Linked DNA regions of Astyanax mexicanus. Each later gene encodes a partner of the first gene's protein in a complex. Links are inferred from orthologs where the notes say so. Each region holds a gene or a part of one and is shown on either strand. Other genes may lie near its edges.

Region 1 (7,501 bases):
ATAAGCCCTAGAGTTTACATGACTGAAACAGGTCTTTCTTTTTTGTACAGTCTAATATTAAACACAATTTTGTATAGCTGGCATAATTGTCTTATTGAGTTCTACCCCTTGTTCTTCTAGTGGCACCACAACCCGTCGCTTTGTTGGACACACCAAAGATGTTCTGAGTGTAGCGTTCTCTGCCGACAACAGACAGATCGTTTCTGGGTCGAGGGATAAGACCATCAAGTTGTGGAACACCCTGGGAGTGTGCAAATACACCATCCAGGTCAGTGTGTTGATACCTTGGCGCGTGCGTGCACTGCATTGATTGGTTAAAGGCAGAGGCCAAATTCTATCTGTGTCCAGCACAATTATGCCATGTTTATGGTTGTCTTGTCCATATACTCCATATTGTCCATATATTTTGTTCTGAATCTCCTTTATTCTCTCCTACAGGACGAAAGCCACTCAGAATGGGTGTCCTGCGTGCGTTTCTCCCCAAACAGCAGCAACCCCATCATTGTGTCTTGTGGCTGGGACAAGATGGTCAAGGTACGGCTTGATTGCACTCATCCCAACTCAAGACTTAATAGATTCTGCTTTACTGTACCTTACCCGATGATTACAAATCTACATACATTATCTGAGCTCTTGGGCTCTGGCGACAAGTCCTGCAATTATGATGGGTAAAGATTTTTAGCATGAAGATTAATGGTAATGTGTTTTTGTCTATTTGTGGGAGCATATTATACCAATAGTGGTTCGGAGTGCTCAAAATGTATGCATTTGCTTTTTTGACAGGTGTGGAATCTTGCTAACTGTAAGCTAAAGACGAACCACATTGGCCACACAGGATACCTAAATACAGTCACTGTGTCTCCTGATGGTTCTCTCTGTGCCTCTGGAGGAAAGGTATGACTTTGCCTTGCCCTAAAGGTTATCTTTTACTATTGACTATTGCAAGTTTTATTCAGTACAAACATATCAGCAATAAGTATAGAACTGAACCTTTTTTTAAATAACTAACATAGGGAGGCAAAACTATTCATAATGAATATAGCAAATTATGAGATTTGTAAAGTAAAAATGTGAAGTAAATTAAAGGATGGGGAACCAGTGCACAGTTGAAGGCATGTGAAAATGTGCCTGCAATCATTTTGTTTTATTAATTTGCCACTTTTTCAACCACTTCATTATTTTAATAGCCTGAATGTATTTCTGCCTGGCTTCTCAAAGAAAACATCATTGCTTGGTATAAATTAGTTGTGCCTTTTACCTAATTTCAATTGCCAAATAATTGATGCATATGTAATATTTGGGTAAATGTAAAATTGGGTTAAAAAAAAAAATAGCTTACAACTCCGGTGTAAAATGGATTTTGGGGTAGTAAAACATGAAATGAGTACTAACCTTTTTGTTAAATAGCTTACCTCCGCTCTCCTGCAGCTTTCCGAGATCCAGCCAGCACTCTTTACAATGGCCAATTCAGGACATGCACTTGCCCCTGATATCGCTTTTTACGCCATCATCCAGGCTCAGAGTAGCTCCACACAGAGCCCTGACATTTAAAATGTGGCATTAGTAACTTTTAAAAGTGCACAAAAGGCTTATTAAAACCCACTGTTTACAACCTGTAGTGTAGCCTGATCTCTAGGCACCGCCATATCAAAGTAGTCAATCAGTGTAGTGGTGTTGGCTAACGGTGCCAAAAGTAAATTTAACACTGGCGTTCTCCTTTAAGCTTAGTCTGCCTGTGGTAGACATATCACATGGTAAATATTAGAGTATAATAACGCGCTTGCATTAATAAAAGCTGTAGGCTTCCATACGAGGCTCTAATGGGTTCAGCATCTCCAACAAATGGTTGTTTCAGCTGCAGTTCTTAGCTCTAATGTGGTGATGAAACTTTAATGCCATCTGTCTCTCTGTGATGATAAAGAGGCTGTTTCTGAACATTATATTAATTTCTGATTGAGTGTGTGTAAGAATTGTGCCACAGCTCCTCAAATGTGGGTGTTTTGTTCTTGCTTGTGTTGTAGGACGGGCAAGCTATGCTGTGGGATCTGAATGAGGGAAAGCACCTGTACACCCTGGACGGTGGGGACATGATTAACGCCCTGTGCTTCAGCCCTAACCGCTACTGGCTGTGTGCTGCTACAGGCCCTAGCATCAAAATCTGGGTGAGTACTACTCCAGTTCTTTTCATTCTTAACATACCAAGACATAGATCCGTCACAAAATATTTGGTTGATATACTCTCCCAGAAGTAACTGCGATAAACAATATTTATTGCCATTTAAAGACAATTTTAAAGAAATGTAAAGACAATGACACTGATATAATAATAAATAAATAAATAGCCACTTAGTACATGTTGACCCTGTAAAAGCTGATATTGTAATTATCCTGACATTCAACTTTTGGGTGGCCTGTTTTGTGAGACTATAAGATGAGTTCAGTGACGAACCTTTTAATGCCTTCTGCTGTCCTGTGATGATAAAAGAGGCTGTTTCTGAGAACTGTCTAAAAAACAATGTTGTATGCTTTTTTTAGATTTTTTCCAAGACTTCTTAATATCCATAAGGGCAGTACTGACCATATGCATTTTTTTCTCTTGTCACTTCAGGACCTTGAGGGTAAAATTATTGTTGATGAGCTGAGACAGGAGGTCATCAGCACAAACAGCAAGGCCGAGCCCCCTCAATGCACTGCTTTGGCCTGGTCTGCTGATGGACAAGTAAGCTTAACCTATTATTCTTTTATAAAAATGCATATTTAGGTTTTTTGGGTAATAAACACTAAAAGGGCCTTACCGGACAAACCCCTGTGATTATCAAACCATATACTATCTGAAACCGCATGGTGACAGTCCTGCAATTATGAGGGGTTTGGGTTAAATTAGGCCCATCCACATATGTCTGGATATTTTTTTTTACCTCTTTATATATTTCCATTATGTATAAATAAAGCCTTAATATTTCCTTTTTTTGTTCATTAAAACAGCTGGTTTAAATTGCTGTTTTTCATTCTCTTCACAGACTCTCTTTGCTGGCTACACTGACAACCTGATCAGAGTGTGGCAGGTTACCATTGGAACTCGATAGGCTTTTTGTAATGTTTACAATTAAATAAATATATCACAGTTCTTTCAGTCATTGTCTTTCTTTTTCTACACTGCATGTAACTGACTGGGATGCCATTTCAGTTTATCTATCCAGGTATATTTACAGTGTTGTTTCAAAGCTGACATTTTACATTTAAGGTATTTTAGCAAACTCTTAGCCAGAGTGACTTACAGAAGTGATTTGTTTACTTATTATTACCTGGTTTGTAAAGACTACTTTCAGAATGTAAAAAATGTAAAGCTTTGATAATGTTTAAATGACTACGAGAAAATGATTAGTTTAGGAACTCTTGAAAAAGATGATACAAAGAGATACCAGTAGGTCCTGAAATATTTGGAAAGTGACACAATCCTAGTGGTTTAGGCTCTGCCTGCCACTACACCGGATTTGAAATTAAACTACTGATTTCACTGACTTTCAGCTATAATTCATAAGGCTGAATTTATGAAGTACAACTTCTTTTTTTTTTTTTCCTTCTTTTTTTTAAATAAACATCTATTAAAGCTCATAAAAAATGAGCTGATCCTTTTCAGGCATACAATAAATGTCAACTCTTTGAAAGGTTGGCTGAATAAATAATTAAAGGATTTGTCTGTCAATACTGGTATTACTCGGTGTGCATTCCTAAATAAAGTTAGTATATGAATAAATAGTTTGTGAGCAAAACGTATTTGCATCTTACCAGTTGATTACACAGTATTCCTGTTTTTAATGTACTTTTGCACAGTTATTAACATTGTCCTGCCAAATATTTATAGGTTATAAAGGTAGACAAAAGGCATGTGTAATTGGTAATTATATTTTTAATTTGTTTATTTTTAATAATAAACGGTCTTTAAATGATTGGAGTATATTGGGAAGAGTTATATGTGCATTTAGTTTTAAAAATGGAATAAAATCACTAGTTAAAACTAACTGCTGCTCCTGTGTTGGGGTTAGCATTGTGCAAACCAACAACATTAAAGGCCCTTATTTTTTTTAAATAAACGTTTAGAACGTTTTTATTATACTGACGCTGAACGTGGTTAAATGTTGTATGATAATTATTAGTAAATATTACATTTTATATATATTTTTCTTTTTTCAGTTTAAAGGCGTTTAAGGCGGTCACGTGCATGTGGTAACCAAGCAACCACACAGCAACAGTCCTCTGGCGCTAGTTAGCTGAGCATAGCGTAGCTTAGCTTTTAATACTGAGACTTTATTTCAATATTAACGATTTATTGTGATATAAAAAGTAACGGCGTCTAGAAAACAGTTAAATGGTGGTTTTATATCTGGACTGAAGTTTTGTTTGGTTTGAACTGGATGTTTTCGCTGTAGTTTAAAGTGTAGCAGTGAGCTGTATTAGGTTAGCTGGCGTAGTTTATTGTAAAAGCTGAGTGAGTTATGGCAGACGAGCGGAGTTTACCTCAGAAGCGCCTTTTCCTGGAGAGAACTCTGGCTCTGATTAAACCGGACTCTGTAGATAAAGCAGAAGAAATCGAGAACATAATTCTACAGTCCGGCTTCACGATTTTACAGGTATTAAACTTTACATAACCTAGCCTTAGTAACGTTAACCAGTTAACTGAACAAACTAATAGTTACGAAATTAAGCCTAGTCTGAATAAAGATAGATAACCTAATATTTCAGTACAAACTCAACATTCACAATATGTAGTCCAAGATAAAATAAAATAATATCGCAGTATTTTATGGCATTTTCACGATATCACTCTTGGTGATATGACAAAACACTGAATTTAAACATTCAAGAACCCACAAAAAGAAAATAAAAATTATATTATAGCATACGATATGATTCATAAAATTCAAGAATATTAGATTTGTAACAGAAGTCAGTGATCCAGAATGTCATGATACTAATAATGCACTCCATATATCTCCATATATCCAGGACTGAAGTAAAATGAATGATGCTAGACAGATACAGCTCTGAAAAAAAGAGATCACTTAAAAGTTTCTTTGATTTTACCAAATTTTAAACCTCTGGAAAATAATCTAGAAGAAGATTACATCAAACCAAGCTGGACATGCCGAGATACATGAAAACTGTGATTAATAACCAGGGTTGTTCCACCAAATGCTGATTTCTGATCTCTTAAAACTTAATAAATATGAACTTGTTTTATTTGCATTATTTGAGGTCTGAAAGCTCTTCATTTCTTTTGTTATTTCAACCATTTCTCATTTTCTGCAAATAAATGACAATGTTTTTATTTGGAATTTGGGAGAAATTTTGTCCGTAGTTTATAGAAGAAAATAACAATGTTCATTTTACTCAAACATCTACCCATAAATAGCAAAAACAGAGAAACTGGTGCAGAAATTGAAGTGGTCTCTTTTTTTTTCAGAGCTGTATATTATCTAGATCAGAAGTTCTCAGACTGGGGGCCACAATGGGGTGCTAAGGGGCCACAGAAAAAGGGTTAAATATATTCAATACATATTTTTCAGCTATGTTCATTTATAATTATCTGATTGGCCATATCTTTAAAATGTTAAAAATGTAAAACACATAGAAAGTTACATAAAAGTACATAAAATTACATAGAAAGTTTATGTTTTTTTTGCCCTGGGTAGGATGGGTGTTGGGGGAGCAGTGACACCATCCACAATGGGCAAATCCAACTAAAAAGTTAATAGAACTACAGATCTACACAAGTCACGTGTTACCACTGATATCTATGGAATCTTTACTAGTTAAAACTGTACCTTCTTAAATGATAAAGTAATGTTAATGTAATAATGTATAAATAATAAATTATAATAAATAAAATGTTTACATATATATATAAATTGAGAAAGGTTGATATTTGGTTTTATGTAGTTGAAAGGGCACAGTAGGAAAATATGTGGAATTATTCTTAAACTAGAGCTCAGCTGTTCATTATTTTTTTATGTTATAAAACAGAAAAAGAGGCTTCAGTTAAGTCCGGAGCAGTGCAGCGATTTCTATGCTGAGCACTACGGAAAGCTGTTTTTTCCCAGTCTGACAGCTTTCATGAGCTCTGGCCCAGTCATCGCCCTCGCACTGGCCAGGCACCAGGCCATTTCCACCTGGAAAGACTTGATGGGACCAGCCAACAGTTCCAAAGCCAAAGATACACACCCTGACTGGTAATTAAATGTGATTGATAATGTGTTCAGATTCAAGCACTACTGGATTATTTAAAACAGCATGCAAAAAAAAAAAGTTTGCATATTTATAATTATTATTATCATTACTAGTAGCAGTAGTAATAACATGGATGTCCATGGCTAATATTACTGTAATTATCAATTGCACACCTTATCATTTAAATTTCACTACAAAAAGAAATACGTTAGATAAAATCCTAATCCCTTAAAATATAGCACTAAGCAACACAAAAATGTACTATAAGGAATTCAAAAGAGTAAAAATAGGGCATTGCATGACATGCCGGTATGCCCCATATATCCCATAGGGATTCATTCCTCTCTTTTAATTTAATACAATAGTATTTATTAGATTTAAATCCTTATTGTCTGACACAGACCTAAAAATTAGGATACACCGCAGTTGGATAGATAGGCTGACTAACTGACGAGCTGACTTTCTTTTTTTCTTTATTAATCCCAGTGGGGTTAATAGAGTAATATCATTTGTATTGTATGTATAGAGAAAGTTTGGTCAGTAACCTATAAACATGATGGCAGGTAAAGTGCCTATGCAAGTGTCTTATAATGCATTTTAAATCAAATAAGGTTTATTGTCTCATCACGTAAGTACAGATGAAAAGTTGAGTAAAACACATGGTCCCACATAGTTTGCAGAAAGAACAGTGAGGTTCGTATGGTATATAATCTTACTACAGGTTAGGTGCCCTGTGATGGTTTGGACAGAACAGTGTCCTACTCTGCTCAGTGGCTTGAGTGGGTGGGTTAAATAATTTATGATCCTTGTACATCCCCCCTATCCCCCCTATCCCCCCCCATCCCCCCCCCCCCCCCCCCCGGCTAGCAATCAAAGTAGATATACAGAGTTCTCAGCCACTGGCCCAAAACAATAACCCCATGGAGGTTTTTAACCCCATCAAATTTGAAAGGTCAAACCACTGACCCCCCCCCCCCCCACCATTCACATCTTTACCCAGCCATCTCAGTCTGCAAACGACTTGACCCATCAACAGAGTACTTAAGAAAGATTGAAAATGACCCAGATTTTCATGCCGCTCAGAAACACTGTCCTCTCAAAGTTTGTCCTTACAAACTGTTTTATAGTCTTTTATAGTGTAATTGCACTTCAAATGGTTCTTTAAACTAACTTATAAGACAGTGGTTCTCAAACCGTTGTAGGTAAGGCACCCCAAGGTAACCAGATAATCACAGAAAATGTGCAGCCAGCACTAAACTGGTAACTTCGTACA
Region 2 (8,236 bases), on another chromosome or scaffold:
TCACTATTCTGATCATGATCATAGATTTAGATCATTTCTATTGAATGTTTTAAACTGTTATAACATTCAAATTTATTTTGCTGCTTTGCAGCTTTATGAAACAAATGCAATATTTTTCAGTGTTTTTTTTTCATATTATAAAGGATGTCATTACATGATATTACTTTTTATCACCCACACCTACTATCAGGAATCACAAACTAAATACCTTTGTGCTACAAACAGTTTCCATAACAATATAGAAAAAGGTCACAAAAAACAGTTGAGTATACTTCATGAAACCCGTGTTGTTGATAAATGCCAAGATCAAACATTTATCTCCAGCAGTCATTAACAACTTACCCGGTCAGAGCTAAACAAAAAGTACAGGGCGAACAGTGGGAACACTCCAAACAGGCCGCCAAGCAGTGAGGTCTTTGGTGTTGCTTTGAAGTTGGGTAAGACGTGGACTCGAGCGTACGTCCACCGGGTCAGAGCTGGATCCTCCTACAAGCACAAAACCACAGCACACATTAACACTGACCAGTGAACAGTCTGCATCAGGTATTCAGAGTCATGTTTAAGGTAGTGAATGTGGTAGAAACAAACATGCTTTTATAATCTCTAGTTCATTAAAAATATCTGGATACGAGTAGACAGGCCTGAACAAATAAATATAACGGGGATTATTACTTGTACAAAGTCCGGCATGTATTTTTCCCTTATTTTAATTATATTTTAAGAACAGTTTTTAGACCCAAAATCTTATTAGAACTGTAGTAAAACTGTGTCTCGGGCATCAGGCAGGATATTTATAATCATCTGGTGTAATAACTTTATGTAAGACAGAGGTTTTAGAGAAACATCATTTACAGAAACATATAGAAATTTTTACTTAGCACAGAAGGCTTTACCTGTATTTAATTTTTCTCCTGTTCAACCAAGAGTTTACTTATAAAATCATGGAAGGTCTAATTCCTGTATTCAGTTTTACAGAAACCACATTATTATTATTATTAGTATTATTTTAAATGTATGTCTAATTTTCCCCAATTTTCTTCCTATTAAGCTAGAGCCAAATATCCCACATATTCAACTGCTAGTCAGCTGAATATACCCCCACATCAAGGGTGATGCCACAATACAAGGATGGAGAAGACTAGCACATGCCTCCTCTGATACACATGAAGTCAGACTTAGTCTCTTTTAGAACTGCTGTTGATGCAGCATTGTCGAGTAGCATCACAGCTCGCTCAGAGAAAAGCACAGCGACTCGGTTTCGATACATCAGCTCACAGACGCCCTGTGCTGATCGTGTTAGGTTATGACTTTATTCTACGCGCTTATTAAAGTCTTCAGAACACCCCCTTAGTATACACAATGTCCCTTCAGAGGTTCACCTCTTAGTATGTGGTAGATCGATAATATCGATATAAATGCTGGTATTGGTATTGAGCAATACTCGTGTAAAAAGATCGATACTCAAGCTTTTTTTCTTTCCTGTACGCACCAACTGTTGCGCACACAGATTCATCAAAGTCTACTGTCTGTAAGAGTAGCGCTGCACCCCCAAACCCGACTCTGGTCTTTTGTTGTTGCACGTGGCTCAGCGGAGCCAGCCAAACAGCCAACATGTATGGAGAGAGACACCACCTAAGTATTCTTTTTTTTTTTGGATATTTTATTAAATATAATACACTCTGTTTATTTAAGAAAAAATAGAATTGCACTGAAAGTAAAAAAATTACTTATGTTTTTTATTGTTTTTCCTAAGAACAATTCTATTTAAAAAAAAAGAAACAAATAAAGAAAGAACTAGAAAAGATGTCTAGTGAGGTGAGAATTTTTTTTGTATAGTGGTTGCTCCTTTTCTACCTCAAAAATATTTATTTTCCTAATGTTAAGGCAAACTTACTGTGCCACTGTTTCGAAACAAAAATGTTGATTGTGGTAAAGTATTTCGTTGTCATGCACAATGTTTGGCGAAATTTTATCCTAGGTCTTTTGGATCCTTTGAATCTATAAAGTTGAAAATATTAAAAGGAATCGGTATCAATATCGGCAATACTGGCCCTGCATTAACTTGGTATCGGATCGATATCAAAATTCCCAGTATCGCCCACCTCTAGTATGTGGTGCCCAATACTTCTTTTTTCTTTTTTTTAATTCACCATGTCCCTTCAGGGGTTCACTACACTTAGTATGTAGTGCTTACCACTTAACGTAAATAAAATACACCACGTCCCTTTATTGGCTCTGTAGGAGAGTGATCTAAAATAAGGTAGAACAAGGCTGACTGCATTAAGGCACTAAACACAAATAGAAGCTCGTCGTGACGCCACCTGTCAACGACCGATAGACCAGCGGCACAGAAACAACCAGTAAAACTGCCAGAGCTTAGTTAGACAAGTTAGATGGCGAGGCTGTGTTACGTTAGGACTTTATTCTACGCGTTTATTGACGTTTAAAGTCTTCAGTTAGGTTAGCTAGCTAGCTAGCTAATCAGACCGCAAACATTAGCATAGGGTAGCTAAGCTACTCTACCATACACCAAGGTCACTGTTTTAATAAACACCTGTTAAATATCAGGACATGAAATAAGCTGTTCAAAACTGTAATCTAGATACAATTAAAGGACAGATTGACTGTAGACACCGCCTGAACACATATTATACCATTATACACACACTAACAGGCTTCATACAGTTATACAGCTAAGCTAACATAACCCAGTAAACGTTAGCTAAGCTAATCTAGGTGAGCGGCGGAAAGTCTTACAATCAGCTCTTTTCTGAGCGGGTTGTTGAGCTGCATCTGGTACTGCCGCTTCAGCCGGGCTCTGATCGCAGCCCGCTCCTCCTCAGCTCTGCGGTATTCCGGAGAAAGATTGAAATACTCCGCTGGATCCAACGTTTTTGGCCGGGAAGCCAAAGGTGCCTCTTTATAGTCCGCCATGTCTGCAGACGACCAGCGAGCTGACCCGGACTGATTTACCTGCTGCACACTCACACAATATAATACAGCTCTGGAAAAATTAAGAGCACTTCAGTTTCTGAATCAGTTTCTCTGATTTTGCTATTTACAGGTATATATTTGAGTAAAATGAACACTGTTGTTTTACGGACAACATTTCTCCCAAATTCCAAATAAAAATATTAGATAGAGCATTTATTTGCAGAAAATAAGAAATGGCTGAAATAACAAAAAAATGCAGAGCTTTCAGACCTCAGATAATGCAAAGAAAACAAGTTCATAATAATAAAGTTTTACGAGTTCAGAAATCAATATTTGGTGGAATAACCCTGGTTTTTAATCACAGTTTGCATGCATCTTGACATGTTCTCCTCCACCAGTCTTACACGCTTCAACTAAATAATGTTATACTCCTAGTGCAAAAAAACAAGTAGTTTAGCTTAGTTTGATGGCTTGTGATTATCCATTTTCCTCTTGATTATATTCCAGAGGTTTTCAGTTTCTTAAAAAAGAAACCCATCATTTTAAGTGGTCTCTTATTTTTCCAGAGCTGTATTAGAAAACAGGTGAGAAACACTAGAGGGAGCCCGCGAGTAAGACCGTAATGCATGGGGTGAATGGAGCTAAACGGATAAAAACTCAAATTAAAAATAGTTTCCTACTACTCATCCAGGATATTCTTTCATTTAAGAAAGTAAATAAGAATATTTCTCTAACAAAGCAAAGAAATCGCATCTGCATTTTTCTAATCTTCCACATCAAACGATTTTTGGGCAACACGGACACTAGCATTACTGCTACTGTAAGCTGATTGATTGGTGAATAAACTGATGCTGAAGTTACAGCCACATCACTTTTAAAAGGCTTAAACCTAAAGTTTAAAATGTTTAAACCGATATCTTTAGTACAGAAACAGTTGATATTCCTCTGTTTTCAATAAATGAATTAAATGTTCAGTATAAAAAAATCAGTATAGACGCCCTCCGGTGGTCTAACAAACCCAGAGCAGAGACTCCAGGTTTAAGTGTGCAATCTGCTCTCTGGGGATTCTCTGCTCGCATCACCCAGATTCCAATAAAAGTCCGATTATGCTCAGAGTATGCTCTTATCAGTTTTTCTTTTGATAGAAAACATCTTCATAATTAAAAAACATAAAAGTAAAAACCACAACACCAAAATCATATAAAGCAGACTAATACAATAAAATAAATAAATACATCACACAAGTACAGGTGAACAGGTGAGTAAATAACTTGAGCGCGTTCTTCAAACCAGCCACCCTTTGCTCTGATTACTGCTTTGCACACTCTTGGCATTCTCTCAATGAGCTTCAAGAGGTGGTCACTTAAAATGGTTTTCAGGTGTGCCTTATCGTGGTTAATTTGTGGAATTTCTTGATTTATTAATGGGGTTGGGACCATCAGTTGTGTTGTGCAGAAGTCAGGTTACTACACAGCCGTCAGCCCTATTGGAAAACTAGTACAATTCATATTACGGCAAGAACCAATCAGCTAACTAAAGAAAAACGAGTGGCCATCATTCCTGCTTGTAAAATGACTCGACTCGGGATTTTTAGGGAGAGGAAGTCTAATTTAACATATTGGATTAAAAAAACAAAAACACCAAAAAAAAACAAAAAAAAAAAACACATGTGACATGTGCCACATTTATTGTAATAGTGCATGCACATACAATGCGTTGCTTAAAAATTTTAAATAAATAAAAATTTTGCTTTATCTTATTTCTTTTTAAAGGCTGTTTATATACAGGATTTATTTACTTACATTTACTTAGAATGTTCACCATATATGTAATTTGAACTTGGGCATCCGAACATCTCTGGAAAAAAGTGAGACCACTACAAAAAAAAAAAGAGAGATCACTACAAAATGATATAAGTAAAATGAACATTATTGGTTCATTCTATATTTTATTTTATTTTACATCTATGTTATATCTATGTTTTATGTATGTTCTGTACATTATTTGAGGTCTTAAAGCACTGCATCTATTTCATTGCTTTGATCATGTCTCATTTTCTGCAAATAAATGCTCTAAATGAAAAAATGTTCTAATATTTTAAAGTGGTCTCATTTTTCCAGAGCTGTATTTATAGTGTTATACATAATGTTAAATGAGCCCTCTAGGGGGCACTCTAGTCACCCAATAACGTGTTGCTAGGTAACGCGCTATACACAAACAGTGCGCCGCTGGGAAAGCAGGGGGTCTCAGGATGGTGACAGCTAGTATAGCTCACTGTTAGTTTACTAGTTTAGCTTTGTTTTAAAGGATGTTTTATTTCATCTAAATTAATAGTGAACCTCTCTTTTGTCCGCTGAAGGAAGCCCGTGTGTTATTGTGAGTCCGGTGAGTTGTTACAAGGTGTTTATAGAGGATTAATAGAGTTTAAAGAGCTGAGCTTAAGTCTCTCACTGGTCATTTTTATTCTGTTCTTATAGAAAACTTGATTAACCAGGCCGAGTAATTCATCACAGTCAGGCTGAACACTTGATGACTGTTGTTTGCTCTAGATTAAAGGGTAGCTACATTATATTAATAGGCAACAGTTGTAGCTAATTTATGAACCTATATAACGTTAAACTATCCTGTATATCTGTAGCACCAGTCAAAAGTTTGGACACACATTCTCATTTAATGTTTTTCTTTATTTATTTATTTATTTATTTATTTTTTTTACTTTGTAGATTAATATTAAACACATGAGTAAGGGACACAATCATATATAGAATTACATAGTAAACAAAAAAACATTCCAACTGAGATGGTGATTTGAGGTGATTTGGGATGAGCTGGAGCTTCACTGTGTGAATAAAAAGCAGCAACTATTGTTCAGCACCTCCAGGAACTCCTTCAAGACACTGAGAAAACTATTCCAAAAGACTCTCCCTCATGAAGACACTAAGATTAAAATACCAAGAGTGTGCAGATCTGTCCTCAAAGATAAATGTGAATGCTTATATTAATCTAAAGTAACATATTATGATTTGTTTTACCGTTTTTAGTTTTCAGAATAAATCTGCATGTGTTCCTGTATCATTTTATGGTCTACAATATTACAGTTGGAGTGTAAAATAAAAATAAAAAAAGATAATACATTAAATGAGGTGTCCATTATTATTATTATTATTATTATTATTATTATTATTATTATTATTATTATTATTATTATTATTATTATTATTATTATTATATAAAAACTTTAAAACTTATTTATCATTTTCATTCCAATTCACAATTGTATTCTACTTTCTGTTGGTCTATCATTTAAAATTGAAATTGCTTTTTCTTCAGTAAATTAATCTAATTTTCAGTATAAAAAATCAGACGCCCTCCGGTGGTCTAACAAACCCAGAGCAGAGACTCCAGGTTTAAGTGTGCAATCTGCTCTCTGGAGATTCTCTGCTCGCATCACCAAGATTACAATAAAAGTCCGAGTATGCTCAGAGTATGCTCTTATCAGTTTCTTTTTTTATAGAAAACATCTTCATAATAAAAAATAAAGGCATTTTATGGATTATGGATTTTATGGGATGTAGTTTGTAGTCAGCTAAATAAGCAAATAGACAGACATTAAATCAATGATTTACAGTTAAATTACAGTAGATATGTTGTGCTTGTCTGAAATGTAACTTATTCTCTAACATTTTACTTTCCTTTAATCTTTTTTGGGTTTTCACTAGATCACTTCTTAACAGGAGACATGCCTCCTCCAGATACGATGTACTGCTCCCAGCAGATCAACATTCCCCCAGAGCTGCCTGATATCTTGAAACAGTTTACTAAAGCTGCTATTAGAACACAGCCACCTGATGTACTGCAGTGGGCTGCCACGTAAGTTGGTACACTTTGCTAGATTGTGAAAAAACACATTGCATGACATGTACTGTGATTGTATCTTTGTTTTTGTTTGTTGAAATTGTCTCTCCAATTTGGCCAATTTCAGCTCTCGTCTTCAGCCAAGAACAATCATGGGATCAATGCTCTGATAGCTGCGGCGCTTAAAATCTTACAAGTTTTAGCCTGAAACAATTTAGTCATGCCCATTCACCCTGAAGCCTTAAAATGTGTTTCAGCTCGGACTGCTTATTGAATGACACCCAATACAGGGCAACCACTACAGGGCAGTAACAACCACTACAGGGCAGTAACAACCATTACAGGGCAGTAACAACTACTACAGGGCAGTAACAACCAAAAGCATATTCAATGATAAAGGATTAAAGCAACCATATTTAGCATTTTTACCTTAAAAAGAGCTTCAAAATCTGTAAAGCTCCACTGACATGTAAGAGAGAATGTGTCTGTATTCTGGCTACTCCAGGCTCAGTGTGCTGCTCACTGCACTGTGTATCTCTTTTGAAGTGGGCAGGAAAAGTAGAAAAAACTGCAAGAACTGTGCAACCTGAATGATAAGTGTGTAACATCCAGCAATATTAGCCTGCTCAAGTGTGTCTGTTCACATGATTATTTTACTTTTAATAATGGTTCTGTATCACAGAATCCCCAAATTGAATGTAAGCATAAAATGAAGGGTGTCTCAAAGTGTAAATTCCACTTGCCAATTGCAGGGGTAGCCTACAAGCGAAAAAAACAAACAAACAAACAAACAAAAAAAACAATTCTCACATACTGTGGCTTTAAGGGAGGTCATTTTTGGCACATCATCTTTAAAAGGTTATGAGCTATACATTTCAAAAGTTTTGAGGAATAGAGTAGGATTACTAATGTTGAAAAGTTTTCAAAAGACAGCTCATACACAGGTAGAGCACATTAAATATGAGTCACTTACGTCACTAATAAGAGACTTACGTTTGAAATGTAATCCACAGTTATTTAAGTTTTTCTTTTAAAATGCATAATTTCCTCTTAAGATATTTTTCAGCACTTTCAAAAGGTGAAACTCTGCCAGTCAAGGACAGGCTAGAAATGCCAGTAGCAACACAAAAGACAGACACTGGGCTTACTCCAGGCCTGCTCAAGGTCCTTCACAAGCAGGTTCGTGACATAAGCCTAGCTAGCTCTTTTATTAGTGATAAAAATGTTTGGTTATGTAACATTTTGAATGAATATAACTGAACATATTCTGACGCTGTTTTCTTTTTATAATCACAGCTTTCACCAAAAGAACCTGTTATGAAAGAGGAGTTGCTGAAGAAGTGGAAAGGCTTGTGCTTGCCGGTTGAACAGCTCAATACACTCCTTGACCTTGGCAACTTTGATGAACAAATTGACTGGATGGGGTTCTTTGCTCTGAGCTGCAGTG

The links.
Region 2: nme5 (region 1) and ropn1l share a complex: the UniProt entries of both Homo sapiens proteins name them as parts of the axonemal radial spoke complex. The link is inferred for Astyanax mexicanus from reciprocal best matches to the Homo sapiens genes NME5 and ROPN1L.

What each region holds. Positions count from the first base shown.
Region 1 is NC_064417.1:28,157,380-28,164,880, reverse strand, and holds the start of nme5 (nucleoside diphosphate kinase homolog 5), read left to right. Parts: upstream 1-4,229; 5' UTR 4,230-4,496; coding exon 4,497-4,631; intron 4,632-6,024; coding exon 6,025-6,230; intron 6,231-7,501. Other genes in the region: rack1 (guanine nucleotide-binding protein subunit beta-2-like 1), read left to right, coding at 121-268, 439-534, 784-894, 2,022-2,162, 2,609-2,719, 3,021-3,086. UniProt on the Homo sapiens protein: Functions as part of axonemal radial spoke complexes that play an important part in the motility of sperm and cilia. Does not seem to have nucleoside diphosphate kinase (NDPK) activity.
Region 2 is NC_064408.1:99,302,895-99,311,130, reverse strand, and holds the start of ropn1l (ropporin-1-like protein), read left to right. Parts: upstream 1-5,145; 5' UTR 5,146-5,319; intron 5,320-5,411; 5' UTR 5,412-5,463; coding exon 5,464-5,491; intron 5,492-6,653; coding exon 6,654-6,804; intron 6,805-7,844; coding exon 7,845-7,968; intron 7,969-8,085; coding exon 8,086-8,236. Other genes in the region: ndufb4 (NADH dehydrogenase [ubiquinone] 1 beta subcomplex subunit 4), read right to left, coding at 343-486, 2,758-2,934. UniProt on the Homo sapiens protein: Functions as part of axonemal radial spoke complexes that play an important part in the motility of sperm and cilia. Important for male fertility.